Linked DNA regions of Anolis sagrei. The protein of the gene in region 2 interacts with the protein of the main gene of each other region in a biochemical or structural test. Links are inferred from orthologs where the notes say so. Each region holds a gene or a part of one and is shown on either strand. Other genes may lie near its edges.

Evidence for each region.
Region 1: the proteins of MMP14 (region 2) and TIMP2 form a complex in vitro, tested with the Homo sapiens proteins (2 studies listed by BioGRID). The link is inferred for Anolis sagrei from reciprocal best matches to the Homo sapiens genes MMP14 and TIMP2.
Region 3: the proteins of MMP14 (region 2) and LUM interact in a biophysical measurement, tested with the Homo sapiens proteins (2 studies listed by BioGRID and IntAct, with this or other methods). The link is inferred for Anolis sagrei from reciprocal best matches to the Homo sapiens genes MMP14 and LUM.

Annotation. Positions count from the first base shown.
Region 1 is NC_090022.1:128,960,131-128,967,660, reverse strand, and holds the start of TIMP2 (metalloproteinase inhibitor 2), read left to right. Parts: upstream 1-4,521; 5' UTR 4,522-5,041; coding exon 5,042-5,171; intron 5,172-7,530. UniProt on the Homo sapiens protein: Complexes with metalloproteinases (such as collagenases) and irreversibly inactivates them by binding to their catalytic zinc cofactor. Known to act on MMP-1, MMP-2, MMP-3, MMP-7, MMP-8, MMP-9, MMP-10, MMP-13, MMP-14, MMP-15, MMP-16 and MMP-19.
Region 2 is NC_090026.1:9,641,064-9,648,231, forward strand, and holds the start of MMP14 (matrix metalloproteinase-14), read left to right. Parts: upstream 1-4,159; 5' UTR 4,160-4,422; coding exon 4,423-4,533; intron 4,534-7,168.
Region 3 is NC_090025.1:153,688,372-153,696,301, forward strand, and holds the start of LUM (lumican), read right to left. Parts: upstream 3,010-7,930; 5' UTR 2,690-3,009; intron 1-2,689.

The DNA.
Region 1 (7,530 bases), on a different chromosome or scaffold from region 2:
ATAAGATATGAGGCATATTGGGAATGCAAACAGAAAATGATAATCAAGAGCCTAGTACAAATCGTTTCAATCAAGATGAGGCCTACAGTGGTTTTTGGGAATAACCGATAACAATCAGGATATATATATGTGGCAATTCTTTTGAAACACTTTAAAAAACAGGAAACATAACAGAACTCTTGGAGCCCATCAGCAACTCCTACAAATCTCGGCATTCTATAACATTGGGTCACGGCAGTTAAAGTGGTGTCAAACTGCTATAATTCTGCAGTGTGGCAAGATCTCTAGAAACAGAAGAAGAATTTAGTACCCAAAATGCATTTTGCCCCTTCAGATAGTTTGCAGAGAACACCTCCTTAATGTGCTATTTGACTCTGGGTGGAAAGTGCAGCACTGGCTGAGATGAAGCACAGGGCATATGAAAAATGCAGAGAGCTGGACTATAAGGAAGGCTGAGCAAAGGAAGATAGACACTTTTGAACTGTGGTGTTGGAGGAAAATTCTGAGAGTGCCTTGGACTGCGAGGAGATCAAACCAATCCATACTCTAGTAAATATAGCCCAGTTGCTCACTGGAGGGAAGGGTATTAGAGGCAAAATGAAGTACTTTGGCCACATAATGAGAAGACAGGAAAGCTAGGAGAGGATAATGAGAATGGGAAAAATGGAAGTAAAAGGGAAGAGAGGCCGACCAAGGGCAAGGATGTTATCCTTAAAGTGATTGGCTCGACCTTGAAGGAGCTGGGGGTGGTGATGTCTGACAGGGAGCTCTAGCGAAGGTCTCTAGGATTATGAAAGAAGACACTGAAATGCAACATGTGAGCCAATTGTCTCTTGATGATACAGAGACAAGTTGTGCACTTCTCAGCATCTTTCCATCAACTATACTGGGGTCTGCAGGTTACGATACCTCTATACCCAGGCTAGAGGCATTTTTATTTTACTACAACATCCCAAATCCCTCCCAGCTAGCAAGACCATTGGGGGGGGGGGGGGCATTCTGGAATTGTAATTTCAAAAATAACTTGACCCAGCTCTGATCAGGGCTAGGAGAAAAGTCAAATCCTATTGGAGCAAAATTTTGGGCCATCTCCTAACTTGTGGTCAACAGCCAAAAAGTGTTTTTATTGCTATGACTTTCCATCTGGCACAACAAGGGTGGGAACTCATAAAACTTTTAACAGTTGAACTGCAGCACTCAAAATAATTTCCACAACTTATTTTGCTGGTGTTTAATCCCAGAAACTGTTTTAAGTACTACAACTCAGACCTTAAAACTTGCCAAGTAATAATAACAAGAGAGAGACTTTGCACACATGTAGACGTCTCTTTTTCTACCAGAACATAACCCACAGGCAGTCAGTAACTGTTTTGTGATCAACTATAATTCCATAGGAGTGAAGACCTTCAGGCTTTACAGAATTGGGTTGTTGTCAGTTTTCCAGGCTGTATGACCATGTTCCAGAAGCATTCTCTCCTGACATTTCACCCAAAACTATGGCAGGCATCCTCAGAGGTTGTGAGGTCTGTTGGAAACTAGGCAAGTGAGGTTTATACGTCTGTGGAATGTCCGGGGTGAGAGAAAGAACTGTGCTTGAGGCAAGTGTGAATGTTGCAGTTGGCCACCTTGATTAGCATTTAATGGCCTTTCAGCTTCAAAGCCTGGCTGATTGCTGCATGGGGGAATCCTTTGGTTGGAGGTGTTAGCTGGCCCTGATTGATTCTTGTCTGGAATTCATCTGTTTTTTGACATTCCATAGATATATAAACCCCCCTTGTCTAGTTTCCAACAGACCCCTCCATCTCCAAGGATGTCTGCCATAGATGTGGGTGAAATGTCAGGAGGGAATGCTTCTGGAACATGGCCATACATCCCGGAAAATGCACAGCAACCCAGTGATGAAAGCCTTTGACAACACAGCTTTGGCTTTACAATTTGGTGGAGGGTATTATCCAAAATTAACTAGATGTTTTAGTTATGTCTTAAATATTTCAAAACAGTCTTGAGATGAAGAATGCAGGCTTGATGAGTCATTGATAGGTTTGTACAGGTGTCAGTTCATACCTGGCAATGTCTCCCAGGAGGGAGATGAAATGAGGGGTCCGCAGCTCTACAAATAAATCATTTTGTTCAGCGCTCATAGTTACCAAGCAAATTCAAACAGTGGTCTGGAAAGATATGTCTTTAGCCTCAGTGATTATGTCCCTTTCTAGAATATAGTCCAGACACTCAGAGCCTACCATTAACCATTTCCCACATCCCCAGAAAAGACAAGGTATGGCAGATATTGGCATGACTTGCAAGGCATGTCTACAACTTTCCCTCTGTTTTCTCCAGGATGATCACATCAAAATGATTTCTGGGGTTTTTGTGAGGCTGTTAAAAGCTCCTCCCAAAACTACAAACCCCAGAATTCTGCAGGAGGCAGAAACTGGATTTTAAGTCGATTTTTCTCTCTAGCATGATGAGGCCCATATGTTTGCTCATGGGGGCAGGGGCAGGGGTTCTCTAAATGAGAAGTAGGACAAAGTGATAGTCTAGGTTCTAGCTATGTGACTTCAGGTTGCTTGTTGATAGCTGGTGACTTCATGAAGTTCATGGGTTTTTCTTAGGCCAGGGGGACAAAGGGGGTGGGGGTGGGGTGGGGTTCATCCATTACTTCTTCTGAAATATAGCCTCGAGTACCTGATATCTACCCAAGCACTAACTAGAGCTGACCCTGGATTTGGTATATTCAGAGTATTTATGCTTGCTGATTGATATTACAAAGAGATTTAAAGCAGTGAGCATGGACCTCTTAAACTAGTGTGGTACCATGGTTTTAGTGTGGGACTATGGTAGTGCTCCGTGAACTTAGGATTCAAATCTCTGCTTAGCCCTGAATAGTGCATACCCACTATTTGGGAGAGCCTTATTCTCTCAGCCTAACAGATGTGAGGGTAAACCTCCTCTGAAGAAATCATGCCAAGGAAACCGTAGAGTAGGGTTACTATAATTCAGGGTCACCTTGAAGGCATTCAATAACAATATGGGGAATGGCTGGCTACAGACTGGGTGCATCACAAGGCTTATTTGATCTCTGATCAGAAATTGGAGCTATGGGGCTATTTAGAGCAGAATAAGGAACTGTGTTTTGGTATGCAGCCTGGGAAGACATTTCATTGCAACCTGAGTAGAGAAGTGCACTGTCCTTGGGGAAAGGTCCAAATTAGTGAAGAATTAGATTTGGCCCCTCCCAACTGGATTTAGCCTGTCCACCATTACATTTCAAAGAAAGGCACCCTGTGAAATTCATGGAGTTGGCGTAAGTTGACAAGTGACTTGAAGGCTCATGCAGACACAGTGAAGGGGGGGGGGGGGTCCCCACCATCCTGGTACTGAAAAGAGCTTTGAATTGGTTACATTTATTAGGGTGCTTGTACACTTGGGTTTTTGGGGGGGGGGGTGGTTTGAATGCTCTGCTATGGGTGCATTAACACTGCTGAATGAATGCAGTTATTTATTTTCTGTATTTATACGCTGCCCTTCTCACCCCGAAGGGGACTCAGAGCAGCCTTAACTTAATGCCAGTTATTAAAATCACACAATCTGAATCATATTTGAGAAGCTGTTCTGGCCATTATTGTCCATTTTCCAACTTCATTTATTGCACTGCATTACAAATCCAAGGCTTGGTCCCATAGCCATGTTTTTCAACAGGTGAAGTCGTGGTTATGGAGAAAGGCTTTCGAAGAATGAGACAATGATCTGGATGGAAGACGGTGTATATTCGATTTTAGTATGACGGCTGACCACTGTAGTTTTAAATATATGTGCTTTTTAAAATGTTTTATTGTAATGTTTATTTTGATATTTTACCGATTGTATATGTTTTTATGGTTGGAAATCGGGCTGAGTCCCTCTTATGAGGTGAGAAGCTCGGTATATAAAACTTTGAAATAAATAAATAAATGAATACATTTCTTCCTAAAGGTCAGGAGGGAGGGAGCTGATCTGATTTTGCTAGAGTGTTCCATAGCCAAGGGGCCACCACTGAGAAGGCCCTGTATTTCATTCCCTGCAACCACACTTGTGAAGGAAGTGGGATCAAGAGCAGGGCCTCCTAACTTTGAAGATGCTTCATAGAAGGGGATACGTTTGGGAGTTTGAACTGCCATGGCTCGACGCTATGTGATCCCGGGAGTTGAAGTTTTACAAGGTCTTTAGCAGCCATCTCTGCCGGAGAGTGCAGGTGCTGAGGCTTGGGGAGGCAGAGGAGGCTGCCGACCTGGCAAAACCCCAACCAACTCCCAGGGCTCTAGAGCATAGTTCAAGTGGTGTCCATCCGACTGGAGGCATCCGACGGTGTGGCAGAGCCCAAGGTGTCGCCTTCCCTCTTCCTTCCTTCCGCCTGGCCGATGATAAGAAGAGTCATAGCTGGCCATCGCTGTCAAGCAGGGCGGCAGAGCAGCCAGCAGAACCGGGCCAGAGGCAAAGCGAGGGAGAGGGAGAGGAGTCAAGAGAGAGAGAGAGAGGGAGGGAGGGAAAGCGAGGGAGAGGCCGCGCTGCCGGGATCCTCAGGCGAGCCGCCCGCTCTGGCCCCGTGCCACGGAGAGGAGGGGCAGCGGATCCCCAGAGCCCATTAAAAAGCCAGGCTTAGCCGAAGAAAACACCTCCATAGAAGGAAGGCAGGCAGGCAGGCAAGCAAGCAGGCAAGCAGCAGGAGCAGAACCAGAGGCTGGGAAGGAGCCGGAGCTTCTGCTCCCACATTCTGCGTGGCTCCTCGTCTGTCTCCCGCCGGCAGGACTCCCTTCCTTGGCGCCTTCCACTCCAAGCAGAGGCCAAACTTTGGGGAGCACGAGTGGGAGCGAGTGTGTGCCTGGATGAGGCAGCAGAAGCCCTGAGCAGCGCCCTTTCCCTCTCCCTCTCTCTCCAGCCCCGCCGTTTGCTCTCTCTCTCTCTCTCTCAAGCTCGCCGTCCCTCCCTCCGTTTTTCCTCCCTGCCTGCCTTCCTCTTCCTTCCTTCCTTCCCTCCCTCTTCTGCCTGCCTTCCTTCCGCCAAGATGAGTGCTGGGCTGCGGAGCCTCCTGGCCTGGCTGGCCCTGCTGCTCCTGGGGAGGATGGACCGCCTGGCCGACGCCTGCAGCTGCTCCCCGGTCCACCCGCAACAGGCGTTTTGCAATGCAGATGTAGGTAAGGAAAGGACGGATCCCCTCCCTCCGCGCCCTGGCTCTCTCTCTCTCTCTCTCTCTCGCTCCCCCCCCCCCCACCATTTGGGAGATCAGCCCCCACCAACCCCACCCCTTCCCCCGCGGGAACAGGGGGAGCGTGGGCCCTGGAGTTTCTTGGCCCAGCCAGGCTTCTTGAGGCTGGCATTGCCTCGGCCACTTCCACCACTCCCACGCCCTCGCCTTGAAAAACACGCGTGTGCCGCTCTTTCCTCCCTGGCATTCCTCTTTCCTTCCTCCTTCCTTGCTCCCGCCCTGACCTGATCCGCAGGAATTCGTTTGAAAGCCCCCAATGCAACCACCAACTCGAACCCCTCCCTTTCTGGCCAAGGCTCCCTCCTTGCGAGATGTAGGCTTGCCAGGGGCTGCTGGGGGGAAGCAGACGTCGGTCTTGAGGAACCGCGAGGAAAGGAAACTTCCCCAGGAAAAACAGGAAAGGGCACAGCCATCTTCGCTGACGGAGAACTAAAGGTGGAATGGGATGTTGTAGGTTTTTGGGCTGTATAGCCATGTTCTAGAAGCATTCTCTCCTGACGTTTCGCCTGCATCTATGGCAGGCATCCTCGGAGGTTGAGGTTGAGTGACCTCACAACCTCTGAGGATTTTCTTTGTGTGTGTGTGTGTCAGGAGTGACTTGAGAAACTGCAAGTTGCTTCTGGTGTGAGAGAATTAGCCACCTGCAAGGACGTTGCCCAAGGGATGCCCAGATGTTTTGATGTTTTAGCATCCTTGTGGGAGGCTTCTCTCATGTCCCCACATGGCAGCCAGAGCTGACAGAGGGAGCTCATCCGCACTCTCCCCAGATTCGAACCTGTGACCTGTCCTCTGAGGATGCCTGCCATAGATGCAGGTGAAATGTCAGGAGAGAATGCTTCTAGAACATGGCCATACAGCTTGAAAAACCTACAATAACCCAGTGATTCCAGCCATTAAATGCTTCAACAATACATTAAGGGTGGAATGCTTCTCTTTTCTCAATGGCAGCTTGGCTCCACAGGGGTGGGTTTCTTTTATTTGGGTGGTGGGGGGGGGGGAGTCAGTCAAATCACCACCCCTGTATATCAGTTGGCAACAGGTCTAGAACACCAGGTTGCTCAAGAATTCTACTTTGATTTAGCATGTGCTAACTGTTTTTCTGTTGGGTTGTGAGTTTTACAGGCTGTATGACTGTGTTTCTGAAGCATTCTCTCCTGACGTTTCACCTGCATCTATGCCAAGCATCCTCAGGGGTTGTGAGGTCTGTTGGAAACTAGGCAAGTGGGGTTAATGTATCTGTGGAACGTCCAGGTTTTTCTGCTTCCAAGAGATAAGGCAGATCTGCTGCTGTTAATATGTTGGAGGCAGCTGTGAAGTCATGCAGGGATGCATTGACTGGCGCAAACTTCAAAATGCAAGTCTTCCAGTGTTGGGCCGGACCCTCACCTAGGACCCAAGGAAGTGGAGGAAGCCAAGGGGACAGATGGAAGGAGGCATGGAAGCACACAAGGCTGCAGAGCTTGCCGAATGGCACCAGCAGGGAGAGGGCAGAACAGAAGGAAGCTTGGACCGCCACAAAGCGGAAACCAGATTTCCATCTGCTTACTGTATATAAATACCTTCCCAGTCCCTTAAGCTCCTGGCTCAAGAGAAAGAAGCTACCCGCCTCCATAGGAGAAATTGTTTTCCCCCCATAATGGTTGTCATCTTCTACTTTTGGAAATTTGTCCTTGCTTCTTGGTGCCTTAGGTCTGTTGCATATCCCATCCTCGCCTTCCAGTGCATTCACAAATATAGAGGACCAGGTTGCATTAAAATCATTTAGTTATGCCCACAGTGTTCTTTGGTTTGGCTCTCTAGGAAACAACCATACAGTCCAAGTAACAATATTTGCAGAAAGTCAGGAATGTATTCCTTGAGAACCCCTGACTTACTTTTGCATCTAAGTAATTTCTTTTAGTGAAATAGCAGAGAGGGAATTCTAATGGATTTGGCTTTGAAATCCTTTCTTGATGATGGGAACAGAGGAATAAAAAAACCTACTTTCTTCAAAAGGCTAACCATACTAATTTTAGTGTGGATTCTAGTCTGGAATCTCATCACGTGGCCCAGTCAGTGAAGAAATAATTTTAGCAAACCTCACCAAAACCACAGGGACGGTTTTCAGTGCCAGGATGTTATTCTGGAATATGCAAAACAATACTCCTGAAGGAAAAGGTTCCTCTGAATGTGTGTCTTGCCCTACGCTCCTGAGTTATCTCAAAAGGCTTCCACATTAGAAGGTGTGGCCTGTAGATACGCTCAAACCTCCAGGTACTTTCCTTTTTAGACAGTAACCCATTAATTGG
Region 2 (7,168 bases):
CTTTGGGAGATGGTGGTTGGACAATGTGGCCGGGCCAGCAGAGTTGATGGCGGAGTATCATCGCTTCAATGCTGGTGGTCTTTGCTTCTTCCAGCATGCTGACATTTGTCTGCTTGTCTTCTCAAGAGATTTGCAGGATTTTTTGGAGGCAGCGCTGATGGAATCATTCCAGGAGTTGCATGTGATATCTGTAGAGTGTCTACGTCTTGCAGGCATATAGCATGGTTGGGAGGACAATAGCTTTATAAACAAGCACCTTGGTATCTCTACGGATGTCCCGGTCCTCAAACACTCTGCTTCATTCAGAAAAATGCTGCTCTCGCAGAGCTCAGGCGGTGTTGTATTTCATTGTCAATGTTGACTTTTCTGCAGAGGTAGCTGCCAAGGTAGTGGAAATGGTCAACATTTTCTAATGTGACACCATTAAGCTGTATTTCTGGCATTGAAGAGGGAATGGGTGATGACTGCTGGAAGAGCACTCTGTTTTTCTCGATGTTCAATGACAGGCCGAGCTTCTCGTATGCTTCTGCAAAGGTGTTTAGAGGAGCTTGTAGGTTTTCCTCTGAATGTGCACAGATGACGTTGTCATCAGCATATTGGAGTTCTATAACAGATGTTGTTGTAACCTTGGTTTTGGCTTTCAGTCTGCTGAGGTTAAACAGCTTGCCATCTGTCCAATAGATGATTTTCACTACAGTGGGAAGCTTCCCATCAACAATATGAAGTATCATAGCAATGAAGATGAAAAATAAGGTTGGGGCAATAACACATCCCTGTTAGAACCTGATTCCACCTTAAATGGGTCACTTTGGGAGCCATTGCTGTCCAAGACTGTTGCCATCTTGTCATCATGTAGAATTAGTACAGTTTGATACCACTTTACCTGCCATGGGTCAATGGAATCATGGAAGTTGTAGTTTAGTGAGGCACCAACACTCTTTGGTCAAAAAACTTATTGACTTTGGAAAATTACAGCTTTCAGAATACCATAACATTGAGGCATTGTTGTTAAAGCGGCGTCAAACTGCATTAATTCTACAGTGTAGCTGCATCCCTAATGCTCTTCACCTGCTCAGGCCTTGGCAAGCATCCAACCTTGGCCAGCTAATGGCAAAAACCTTGCCAAAAATCAAAGCAATGAGGTCCCTTTGGAAGCGAAACCAGGACTGTTTAGGCTGAAATCCAATTTAAACAGCCTTATCAGGAAGGAAGTCTCTAATGAGTTTAGTGGGGCTTTAGGTTTTAGGCTTAGTGTACTGTGCGGATATTAGACGATTTCAATTGACTGTATGTCATTAGGTTTCTGGACCTAAATACCCTAAAGGCACCAGATCCTGTCTGATCTTGGAAGCGAAGCAGGGTCAGCTCGACTTTGTATTTGGATGGGAGATCTGCCAATGAACGCCAGGTGCTGGAGGCCATATTTCAAAGGAAGGAACTGGCAAGAAGTATTCCTAGCCCAAGAAAACCTTACAAAACTCATAGGGTTGCCATAAGTCTACAGGTGGCTCAAAGGCATATATATATATATATATATATATATATATATATATATATCTAGCTAATCAACTATGTATACATTTAGTGACATAGTTTCTCAGAGATGTTAAGATTCTGGCAAACCTAGAAGGCAAAGATGCTGTACAAAAGTGAAGCAACCGAATTTCTGTCTGAGACTTGTAGTTTCGGCACCATCTCTCTTTGATGGTCAGTGCCAAAGACCATATAAACTACAATTCCCATTATCCTACAGCATCCAGCCTCCTTTACCAAAGAGTGTGCTGGTGCCTCCCCAAGTTACAACTTGTAGGATTCCATAGCCTGGGGCTATAGCAGTTAAAGTGCTGTCAAACTGCATTAATTCGACAGTGTGGATGTGCCCTTGGAGCTTTTCTGATGTCAAATACCATCTGTGTATCATCTCTGAAAAATGTTGCATGTGGGGTCAAGGCATACTCCCCTCCCTCCCTTCCTTTATGCTTGCTTGCTTTTCCGCCTCTCTCCTCCCTTCCTTATTTCCTTCCTTCCTGGCTTTATTCTTTCTCTCCTTCTCTCTTCCTCCTCCCCTTCTTTCTCTTCCTATCTTCCTTCCTCCCTCTCCTTCATTCTGTTTCCAACCTTCCTTTTGTTTCTCCTTCTTTCTTAATTTCTTTTCTCCTTCCTCTTTCCTTCCTTCTGTCTTTCCTCCTTTGTCTTTCTTTCTTCTTCCTTCCTTGTTTCCTCCTTCCTCCCTTCTTTATTTTTCCATATTTTCTTCCTTCTTCCTTTCCTCCTTCCTCCCTTCTTTGTCTTTCCGTCTATCTTCTCCCCTTCCTATTTTTTTCTATTTTAGTTCCCTCCTCCCTTCTGTCTTTCCTCCTTCCTCTGTCCTTCCTTCTTTCTTTCCTCCCTTCCTTCTTTTACTTTCTATCTTCTTCCTTCCCTCCTTTCTATTTTCTTCCTTCCTTCCTTGTCTTTCCTTCTATCTTCTTTCCTTCCCTTATCCTTCTATTTTCTTTCCATCCTCCCTTCCTTGTCTTTCCTTCTATCTTCCATTCCCCTTCTTTCTCTTTTATTTATTTCCTTTTCTCCTTCCTCCGTTGTCTTTCCTTCCATCTTCCTTCTTTCCTGTCCTTCTATTTTGTTTCCATCCATCCTTCCTTCTTTCTTTTCACCTTCCTCCCTTCTTTGTCTTTCCTTTGATCTTCTTCCTTCCTTCCTTCTTTCCTCCCTCCCTTGTCTTTCTTCTATCTTCTTCCTTCCCCTTCTTTCTATTTTCTTTATTTCTTTCCTCCTTCCTCCCTTGTCTTTCCTTCTGTCTTCTTTCCTGTCCTTCTATTTTGTTTCCACCCTTCTTTCTTTTCTCCTTCCTCCTTTCTTTGTCTTTCCTTCTATCTTCTTCCTCCCTCCCTTCTTTCTTTCCTCTCCCTTCTTTGTCTTTCTTTCTTTTTCCTTCCCCCTTTTTCTATTTTCTTTCTTTCTATCTATCTTCCTTCCTTCCTTCCTTCCCCTTTCTTTCTATTATTTCTTTCCTTCCTTGTCTTTCCTTCTATCTTCTTTCCTGTCCTATTTTCTCTCTCTCCCTCTTTCCTTCTGTCTTGCTTTCCTCCTCCTTCCCTTCCTTGTCTTTTCTTCCCTTTCTTCTTTCTTCCCCCCTCTTTCCTTCGTCCCATCTTGTCTCCTTCCTTTTCTCTCCTTCTTTCCTGTCCTTCTATTTTCTTTCCATCCTTCTTTCTTTTCTCCTTCCTCCCTTCTTTGTCTTTCTTTCTATCTTCTTCTTCCTCCCTCCTTCTTTTTCTTTCTTTTTTCCTTCCCCCCTCTTTCTATTTTCTTTCTTTCGTTCTATCTTCCTTCCCCTTTCTTTCTATAATTTCTTTCCTTCCTTGTCTTTCCTTCTATCATCCTTCCTGTCCTATTTTCTCTCTCTCCCTTTTTCCTTCTGTCTTGTTTTCTTCTTCCCTTCCTTGTCTTTTCTTCGTTTTCTTCTTTCTTCCGCCCTCTTTCCTTCGTCCCATCTTGTCTTCTTTCTTTCTATCATTCTATTTTTCTTTCTTCCTTCCCCTTTCTTTCCATTTTATGTCTTTCCTTCTATCTTCCTTCCTGTCCTTCTATTTTCTCTCTCCCCCTCTTTCCTTCTGTCTTGCTTTCCTCCTTCTTCCCTTCCTTGTCTTTTCTTCCCTTTCTTCTTTCTTCCGCCCTCCCTCTTTCCTTCGTCCCATCTTGTCTCCTTCCTTTTCTCTCCTTCTTTCCTGTCCTTCTATTTTGTTTCCATCCTACTTTCATTTCTCCTTCCTCCCTTCTTTGGCTTTCTTTCTTTCTATCTTCTTCTTCCTCCCTCCCTCCTTCTTTTTCTTTCTTTTTTCCTCCCTCCCCTCTTTCTATTTTCTTTCTATCGTTCTATTTTAATTCCTTCCTTCCCCTTTCTTTCTATTTTATGTCTTTCCTTCTATCTTCCTTCCTGTCCTTCTCTTTTCTTTCCCTCCCTCTTTCCTTCTGTCCTGCTTTCCTCTTTCTTTCCTTCCTTGTCTTTTCTTCCCTTTCTTCTTTCTTCCCCCGTCTTTCCTTCGTCCCATCTTGTCTCCTTCCTTTCCTCCTCTCCCTCTCTCTCCTCCTTTCTGCCTCTCCCCCTTCCTTGCCCCCTCCTCTATCCCCTCCTCCTCCTCCTTCCGTTTTCCAGGAGGAGCTTGGCCCTTCCTCCCCTCCTTCTTGGGCTTTGGGCTCCTTCCTCTCCCCGCAGAACCTTCTCTCTAATTGGAGCCAGACCCCGCGCCCCACCACGTCTCCACTTCGCGAGGGAGAAGGAGAAGCGCCCGAGAGCCAGGAAGGGCCAGGCTGGGCCAGGGAAGGCAGACGACCCACCGCAGGCGCCCCCTCCTCGCGTGGCTCTCGCCCCCAAAGAAAGAAAGAGAGAGAGAAAGAAAGAAAGAGAGAGACCCCCGAAGCATGCCTCTTTGGCCGGCCCTCCTGCGCCTCTTGCCCCTGGCCCTGGCCCTGGGCGCCCTCTTGCCCCAAGGCTTCTCCTCCTCCTCCTCTTCCTCCCGCTTCAGCCCCGAGGTGAGTCCGGGCTCTGTGCCCCCAACCAGCCATTCCCACGCGAGATTTCCTTCCCCCCTCTTTGCCTCTTTCTCCTCTTGCTCCCAGGACCTGTTGCTCCCTTGCATCCCTTGCATCCCTCATCTGGTGGGACTTCTTCCAGGGGATCCTTCCCTTCTTCACTCCCAGCAAAGAAATGTGAGACTTTGGCACCCCTTCTCCTCTCACTCCTCCACTCCAAAACTTTTCCATTCCCTTCTTTCTTCTCCTCTCTAGCTCTCTCTGTGTTTTCCTCCCTTTTCTTCCAATCTCCCTCCCTTTCCTTCATTTCCATTGCCTTGTCCTCTGCCAGCAGGGCTTTCTCCTTCCCTTTTTCCATGCCTCTCTCTTTCTCTCTCCCTCAAATTGAGTTCCTTTCTTTGCTTTGCTTGTCTCCACTTGCCTGGTGCAGAGCTGGCTCCTTTCTATGCTTTGCTGCCTTCTTCCCTGCATTTAATCCAGTTGCTGCAAACTTGGCAACTTTTCCTTCTCTAATGGATCAAACCATTTTTTTGAATCTGTGTTGCTGTGAGTTTTCCAAACTGTATGGCCATCTTCCAGAAGCATTCTCTCCTGACATTTCGCCCACCTCTGTGGCAAAGTTGTTGAGGTCTGTTGGAAACTAGATTTTTTTTCATGTCTGGAGCAACTTGAGATAACAACAAGTCGCTTCTGGTGTGAGAGAATTGGCCGTCTGCAAGGACGTTGCCCAGGAGACATTGCCCGGATATTTTACTGTCCTATGAGAGGCTTCTCTCATGTCCCTGCATGAGAAGCTGGAGCTAACAGATGGGAGTTCAACTCGCTCCTCAGATTTGAAACTCTGGAGCAACTTGAGAAACTACAATTCGTTTCTGCTGTCAGAGAATTGGCTGTCTGCAAGGACGTTACCCAGGGGACATAGCCCAGATATTTTACCATCCTAAGGGAGGCTTCTGTCATGTCCCCACATGAGAAGCTGGAGCTTACAGGTGGGAGCTCACCTCGCTCCTCAGATTCAAAACTCTGGGGCAACTTGAGAAACTACAATTCGTTTCTGCTGTCAGAGAATTGGCTGTCTGCAAGGACGTTACCCAGGGGACATAGCCCAGATATTTTACCATCCTAAGGGAGGCTTCTGTCATGTCCCCACATGAGAAGCTGGAGCTTACAGGTGGGAGCTCACCTCGCTCCTCAGATTCAAAACTCTGGAGCAACTTGAGAAACTACAATTCGTTTCTGCTGTCAGAGAATTGGCTGTCTGCAAGGACGTTACCCAGGGGACATAGCGCAGATATTTTACCATCCCAAGGGAGGCTTCTCTCATGTCCCCACATGAGAAGCTGGAGCTGACAGGCAGGAGCTCACCCCACTCTCCAGATTCGAACCGCCAACTTTTCAGTCAGCAGTCCTGCCGGCACAAGAGTTTAACCCATTGCAGCACCCGGGACTCCTCGGCAAGTGAAAAGACATGAGACAATCAGGGCCAGTTAGTACCTCCCAGGGGACATTGCCTGGATATTTTACTATCCTGTAGGAGGCTTCTCTCATGTCCCCACATGAGAAGCTGGAGTTGACATGTGGGAGCTCACCCCGCTCCTCAGATTCGAACCGCTAACCATTTGGTCAACAGTCCTGCCGGCACAAAGGTTTAATCAGTTGCACTACCGGGGACTCCTCTGTGAGTGAAAAGACATGAGACAATCAGGACCAGCTAATGCCTCTCAACAAAGGATTTCTCCAGGCAGGAATCAGCCAGGCTTTGAAGCTGTAAGGCTTTTCAATGCAAATCAAGGTGATTAATTGAAACATTCACACATACCTCCAGCAGACAAAAGAGTATTTTACTCCCACTCAGGACCTTCTACAGATATATAAACCTTACTTGCCTAGTTTCCAGCAGACCTCAGCAACCTCTGAGGATGCCTGCCATAGATGTGGGTGAAACATCAGGAGAGAATGCTTCTGGAACATGGCTATACAGCCTGGAAAACTTTCAGCAACCCAGTGATTCCAGTCATGAAAGACTTTGACAACACTATTGTTGATCCATCAGGTGCCATCTTATCCTAACCTTTTGCTTTTTATTTCTCTTTAGTCCAGACATGGGCAAACTTCAGCCCTCCAGGTGAAGTTTGGACTCCAATTCCCACAATTCCTAACAGCCAGGAGACTTCAGCTCCTGGCTGTTAGGAATTGTGGTAATTCGCGTCCAAAACACCTGGAGGGCCAAAGTTTGCTCATGCCTGCTTTAGTCTCGTCACTTTCCATATCTCATATTTTCCTCCAAATTGAACCCTCTCATCCTTACTTCCTATATTCTATCTTCTCAAGATCTTGATGGTATATCTGTCTGTAGATGTAGTCTTTCTTCCCTCCTTCTTTCCTAACTTAATCCATTTTCATATTGGTGTGAAGGCTTTCATGGTTGGAATCACTGCATTGCTGTGAATTTTCCGGGCTGTATGGCCATGTTCCAGAAGCATTCTCTCCTGATGTTTCGCCCACATCTATGGCAAGCATCCTCAGAGTTTGTGAGGTTTGTTGGGATCTAGGCAAATGAGGTTTATACATCCGTGGAATAATGTCCAGGGTGGGAGAAAGAACTCTTGCCTGCTTGAGGCAAGTGTGAATGTTG
Region 3 (7,930 bases), on a different chromosome or scaffold from region 2:
ACATCAAAATCCATAATTTTGGCCCCCAAACATTCCCGCCACATATTTATGCGGTCTTCTTACACATGAGTATGTATAAGTAAATAATATATTTTATATTCATCCTGTTGGGTTTTCTTGTAGGTTTGTATGTCACAGATATGTTATTGTAACATTAAGGATTGATCATTTCATCAAACTACATTATAACAAACAATATATTTTACAATAAGGGAACTGGAACTTATTTAGAGGAAGATTGCTACTGCTAGTAGTTTTTAATAGAGGCCATACCTTTCTTTATTTTGCCCTTTATTTTTGTGGATAATCTGGGGAAGCCATGAGTCAAAGGTCATAAAAGCACCCTTGTGGCGACACATGTTCCTAGTTCTATGTTTTCCCTACCCTTGCTTCATATCACTAGAAGTAGTCTGAATGTATTCAATTTCAAAACAACTCATCATTTGATTAAATTATTTGTTGCAAATGATGTACTGCTGTTGTAGTTTTATTGGCAGCTGTATTTTCACTGAACCAAGGTTGAATTAGCAATTGTTATCTTAAGGTCAAACTAGATCTTAAAGGGATGTGTATTCCATGTAATTAACTTATATTTTTCATCCACTAATGGGTTTTCTTAAAAAATACTTGTCTCCGCAATCAGATTTGCAAATTAACTCTACAGTAAGCAATCACAAAACAGCATGTTAAATGAAAAAAATGAAAATGAGGGAAAGCATGCAGTATGAAAAATATGTGTTTTCCACCACTTGAGAGACCATGTATTCTAATTAAATGCAATATTATCCTGTTTGACCATTAGTTTTTTAAATAGTTGCACATTTGGTTCATGTAAGTATGCTTTACTGTTCTCTGTTGACAGGGGTAAGTTTTAGAATGGATTCTGGCAGGAACAGGAGAGATTATCATGGAAATTGTATCCATGTAACCTAATCCTTGAAATAAAGCTACTACATCTGCATTGGATTAAATAATAATGATGTTGCATAGCATGATGCCGGGGTCATTTATTTAATCCTTGCTATATTACTTGCCTAGCTACATCATAAGTGAAAAACAGCATAGCACTTATAATAACCTCTGAGTTTAGAGTTTAATACATAAAAAGTCAACAAATAAATGCTAAAAATCCCACCATTGCTTGTAATAATTACTAGAGGGATCCTCCCTTCCCCTGATAATGAAACACTATGATCTCACCATCTGGCAACACAACATGTGACTGCATTGTAAGTTGACTACAGCAATGGGATTTAATGTAAATATATGTCCACGTATACTGGGGTGAGGATGGGGAAAATTACAGCAGAATTTTCTTTTAAAATGTTAAATTTTAAATCTATGCTGGATCTTAGGGTCTCATCACACTAGAGAAAAATCCACTTAAAATAAAGTTTCTACTTCCTGCAGAATTCTGGGATTTGTAGTTTAGGGAGGAGTCTTTAAACGACAAACCCCAGGATTCTGCAGGAGGCAGACACCAGTTTTTTTTCCTCTAGTGTTATGTTTCTAAAACATTTCTGTTTTTCTTTTGACAACTTCAAAACTACAGGCCATTTGGTGCCTTGTAAGTCTTTTTACAGGATAGATGTGGGAAAGTGGAAGACATATGGATAAGATTATTTTTGTGCAATTAAACTCCCACTGTCAAATTGAAGTTTAACATAAATGTCTTTACATGAGAACACTCTTCATAAACTGCATAAACTCTAGCCCTCATTTATTAAATTGGACAAAGTTAAATCAGAATTGTTCATTCAGTGGTACATCAACTAAACACATTTTCCTTTAAAACCACTGAAAATCAGAAATAAGGCCTCTTTGAGAATGTCACACCCTGACCTTCTAAATATTTCTGTGAAGTTTGGCATAGCTCATGACAGATTGTATTTCTGAATAATCACTCTAAATTCTAGAAAGCATTATTGCATTTTCTTTGAAGAAAACTTGAAAAAGCACTGAAATATTTACAATATTTATCTTTGATAATGTTAAATAGTTCGTTTTTCAAGCATTGAAAGAGTTAATGAGATCCTAAAATTACCTGAAAAGGAAACAGCAAAAAGTATAAAAGGACTAAAAGTACCTGCTAACAACAATAGGAATTTTAAAACAAAAGATATAAAATAACTATTGAATGGCTCATGAGTGAACTTACATAGTACATATGGTACTATTCGGATACAAATATTTGACAACATTTTTACAGGCATCTGCTCAAAAGTTCAATGCAAGCAATGAAGTTCTGGCAACTGCACCCATTTCTCTTAAAGAATCATCTTTCTATACTTTTAGTTTCAAAAGTTGCATAGTGAAGAAATCCATTCCACAAAACAACAGAATCAAACACATGCAAAAATATTATTTTTCAAATCCAGTTTCATCACTGAACAGATGTGTTAATTGCAAATATTGCATTTAGGGCTTTTGAGGAGTAGAAAATTACTTTTGGAGGATCTTGCTTTCTTACTCAAGACTTGGCTATTTATAATGAATGACCCATTCTAGAAGCCAACATGTTCAGCAAAGAAGTTCAGCAAAACATGTGGAGTGTTTAAAAACAAACTGCAAAGGCAAATGCACAAAAGAACTGTGTCCAGTTTGCAAATTGGCAGAGTTTTGACATGTTCCCATTACCTCTTTCCTCTGCTGCTTGATTGTTAGCATTAAAGCATGCAAGAACACTTACCTTTCTGACGTGAAGCGGTTGCCTTAATTCCCACAGCAGATCCAGTGAACGACTGGGTCGACCAATATATGCTATAAACAGTGTCAGAAGGTAACTGACTGCCAGATCCTCTGTGATACAAGGGCTGGGGGGGTGATCCTAGTCACGCTGTTTTCTGAAGCTGCTATGTCATCATAGTGGTGTGGTATGTAAAACTGCTGCTGTCTAATGAAATGCAGGTGGACCAAGGGAATGGTCAAGGACAACCCAGCTGTTTCTCCCTGTGAAACGGGAGAAAGATAACCCCTCCAAGAAACCAGAATAAATTCAGACTGTCTACCATAGTACAAACAACAGAAAGTTAAAGAAAGGAAATAGTTTTAAATAATGCACAAATTGCAAACAGATCTTGCATCCCCCCCCCCCCTCCAAACCACTTAATAGCTTTCAGGAAAGTGAACAAATAATTCTTGAACCTCAGTGTAGCCACAACTCTCAAGCCAACTGACTCACTGGCCATCTCATGTTTTTCTTTGTGTTAAGTTATGTACATAATAACTTAATAAAAGCCTCTGCAATGGAAAGTAACCTCAGATGGTGAACCACATACATTTTTTTCTTTTCACCATATTATATTGTAAAAATAATATCCCACACAGACAAGGAGAGAACAAATATGAAGTTTATGTTAAAACATGCCAATAATGGTACCTTTTCTTTTATAATTTAACATAAATGTTTGTACCACAAAGACGATGAATAGAAAAAATCCCACACATTCCCAAGAAAGAAATAAGCAGCTGGTAACTTTCTTGAAAGTACACTAGCACTGGTTGCTTAAAGGACTTTCAAATCTGGAACCAATCAACCAAATGTTGTCTGTTTCTCATTTCATGGATGCTCTTCAAGAATGCATCCTAAAGCATGGAAAAGAATGCTGTTGAAACACACTACTGCCAGAAATCATGTAATAAAAATAATAAGAAAAACATTATTGGCAAACTTGTAAGCATTCATTCTAGTTATACTATGTCTACAAAATGATCCCTGTGTCATGGGATCCAAAGTTCTTTTAAAAACCTATCTTCACACTTGTTAAGTGTTAGAATCATAGACACCTTAAAGGGCCAGACTCAAAAGTGGCTTCAAAACAGAATTTATTAAAACCAAAGAAAAAGGACGCAGAGATACTTAAATGCAGTGCCACTGGTCAAAACTCAGGAAACAAACCAGACCAGGTCCAAAAGGTTAACAGAAATATAATCCAGATGAATTGGATGCAAAAGGAACGAATCAGACTAAGCGCACTGAGGCAAAACCAAAAGGCACAGTACACAAATGGTTAACAAAAGGAGGGGCCACAGGAAGAGAAGCGTAGTCAGCGGGGGTCAAAGCGGGAGGAATCTGAAACAGCACTGCTCCAGTGTCCGCAGAAGCAGCGTCTTTAGCCAAACCGGTCCAGGAAGGGAGAAGTCCACATCCACGAGAAGACAATCCAGGTCAATAACACACAAACGATCAGGAGATCCAAACTGCAGATCCAACGCTGAACACGAAACAGGCAGCAACAAGTCTACAAGAATCTTTTCCATTACACAGCACCCAACACATGAACGCTCACCAACATCTTGCCTTCTTCAAGGACCCATCACCCCTGAACCCACTTTTATTTACAAATCAGCATCAGAAGACGAACTGACCATTGCCCTATCATTATCCTCCGCAGCTGCTCCCAGCTCTTCACGTGAAGTCCCTTGTCTTTCCCTCCAAGTCCTCCATCTCCTGTCAAGACTTAGATCCCCCCAAGACTCCGTTGGGTCCCCTGATTGCCAGTCTTCACCCCCAGGGAACCCCATAAAGGTATCACTAGTTGTTGGATCCTCACAAATAGCTTGCACTTCTCTTATCTTAGTCCAAGCCATGGTGTCTCCTTCTTCTCCTTCACTCATTGACTCATTATCCCCAGAGAATCCCTCAAACAACTACTCATCTGTAGGTGCTGTAAATATGTCCCGGATCCTCCTTCTCTGCTGCTCATCATCAGATTCCTGCTCCCGAGGAACCCCTCCCCCCCCCTCTGGACCCATCATCCCCAAAGAATCTGAAATGACTCCTTATCTGTAGGTGCTGCAAATATGTCCCGGATCCTCCTCCTCTGCTGCTCATCATCAGATTCCTGCTCCCGAGGAACCCTTTCCCCCCCTCTGGCACCCATACTACTGTTTGCAACGTTACTCACAGGCTCTACTACAACACTAAGTAACAGGGAGGAAGTGAAAAGAGGAGTCAGAGTGGTTAGGGTAATCTAGAAAGACCCCAACCCAGAAAATGTCCTTGATATGAGAAATTGGAAGTGGGAGAGGAAAGCCCTCTTTGAATTGGATCTGGCAAAATTGGACCACCATCACTCCTATGTTGTTGAGCCCCCACACGAATGATCACTCAATTGTGCTTGCTTTAATGGCACTTGTGTTGTAACCACCTTCTGTTGAAATATAATTATGCCAATGTCCTTTTGTTTTAATAAACTCTGTTTTGAAGCCACTTTTGAGTCTGGCCCTTTAAGGTGTCTGTGATTCCAACAGTATTATTATGTAAGTTTACACTGATCCTAAAATGCAATTTCAAATAAGGATTTGGCCCTATCTATACTGCATTATATGGCAGTGTAGATGGGGCCAACAAGTGAAAAACATCAGAGTCGATTACTTCCTCATTCGGACTCTGCTTACATAAGAAAAAATGAAAGTAAGGCCCTGAAATGCACCCACCTAGTGCTGCTTGCTCTTTCACAATATTACAACCTGGGAAGAACCTTACTGGAACTAAGGAGCCATTCTTTTGCTCAGAGTTGCACTGACTGCTTTTGCACAATTGTAACCATTCAAACTATTCTTCCTAGAATATCTGGGACCCCATCTATATTGATATATAATGCAGTTTGAAACTGCACTATATGGGCAGTGTAGTTACATAAGGCAGTTCAATGCAATCTATGCTGGCCTTATATGGCTTTATATGACAGTATAGATGGGGTCTATGATAGCCGTTAATACTACATCTATCTGTCTGTCTGTCTGTCTGTCTGTCTGTCTGTCTGTCTATCTATCTATCTATCTATCTATCTATCTATCTATCTAATAAAAGTCAGTGTTTGTATGTATGTATGCGGCGGACATAGGTGTATGTGGCAGCTTTCTGACTGGCTTCCACTGTGGTACAATTTGCATATGGTCTCTGATTGGCCAGCCAAAACATTCCAGCATTCTCAAGTGGCTGAGAGGGGAAAGGAAATTTGCATATGGTTTCTGATTGGCCAGCATCAACAGGAGCCCCTGGTGGCGCAGAGGGTTAAACCCCTGTGCTGGCAGGACTGAAGACCGACAGGTCGCAGGTTCAAATTCGGGGAGAGCGCCAGCACCTCATGTGGGGACATGAGAGAAGCCTCCCACAAGGATGGTAAAAGATCAAAACATCCTGGCGTCTCCTGGCCAAGGTCCTTGCAGACAGCCAATTCTCTCACACCAGAAACAACTTGCAGTTTCTCAAGTTGCTCCTGACACAACAAAACAAAACAAAACAAAACATTTTAACATTCTCAAGTGGATGAGAAGAGAAAGGAAAGGGCCCGAGGGATTTGCAGTACCTTCACTCACTCTACATCCCACTGCAGTTTGGAGGAGGATGGACCATGGATGATGGGACTTGCAGTACCATCACTCACTTTCTGAGACCGCTGTGATCTTCATCCAATGACTAATCAAGAGCAAACTTGGCACATAGACCTCTCATGACCCACTTTACGCCCTGGTGTGGTTTGGCCGAGGATGGACCATGGATGATGGGACTTGCAGTACCTTCGCTCCATTCCTGAGACCACTGCAAACCTCATCCAATTACCGATAAAGACCAAACTTGGCACACTGAGTCTCCATGACGCACTCTACATCCTGCTGCAGTTTGGAGGAGGATGCACCATGGACGATGGGACTTGCAATACCTGCACTCCATTCCTGAGACCATTACAACTGCCAACAATGCTGGATCAGGATCACAATTCACACAGAGAGCCCGCATGACCCACTCTACATCCTGGTACGGTTAGGAAGAATTTGGAGATGGATGATGGGACTTGCAGTAACTTCACACACTTCCTGAGACCACTGAAACCCTTGCCAATGACTGATCAAGACCAAACTTTATTTATTTTTATTTATTTACATTATTTCTATCCCGCCCATTTCAGCCTGAAGGCGACTCAGGGCGGTACCAGAATTCCCATGACCCACTCTACATTCTAGTGCACTTTCGAGGAGACAGACCATGGATAATGGGACTTCGAGTACCTCCACTCCCTTCCCAAGACTGCTGCAACCCTCATCTAATGACCGATCAAGACCAAACTTGGCACACAGAGTCCCCATGACCCACTCTACATCCCGGTGCTGTTTGGAGGAGGACGGATGATGGATGTTGGGACTTGCAGTATCTTCACTCACTTCCTGAAACCACAGCGACACTCATACAAAAACCAATAAAGACCAAACTTGGCACAGAGAGCCCCCATGGCCAACTCAACATTCTGGTGAGGTTTGGGGGAGAACAGACTATGGATGATGGGACTTCAACTACCTCCACTCACTTCCCAAGACTACTTCAACCCTCATCTAATGACCGATCAAGACCAAACTTGGCACACAAAGCCCCCATGACCCACTCTCCATCCTGGTGCAGTTTGGAGGAGGATGGACCGCAGATGATGGGACTCATAGTACCTTCACTAACTTCCTGAGACCACTGCGAGCCATATACATAACTTATAAAGACCAACCTTGATACACAATTCCTTTATCAAATAACCCGGGCAGCGCTGGTTCCCCAAGCAAGTATATAAATAATAATACATAAATTATTGTATTAAGTGAAGCCAAATCCTGAATCTATTTCTAAAAAACTTCTTTTATGAACTCTTTTTCACTTTTACAGCCAGAAGGTCACTCTAATTCATGTATCGGTTCCATGAAGCTCTATCTGCCTCCAATAGTTCATTTCTAATAACAAATCTCCAGCTTTTCCTTTGTGTGTGTGTGTGTGTGTGTGTGTTACATCCATGCTGTGCTCGTACTTCAAATGGAAAGTATTCAGACACATCAAGCAATTTGTGGTAATCCTGGATTTGTTTCTAATTCCTAAAAAGGAAGTGGCAGCTAAGGGTATTTGTGAAGCAGTAGTCCTGGTACAAGTTTAACTTTTTTTGTTTCT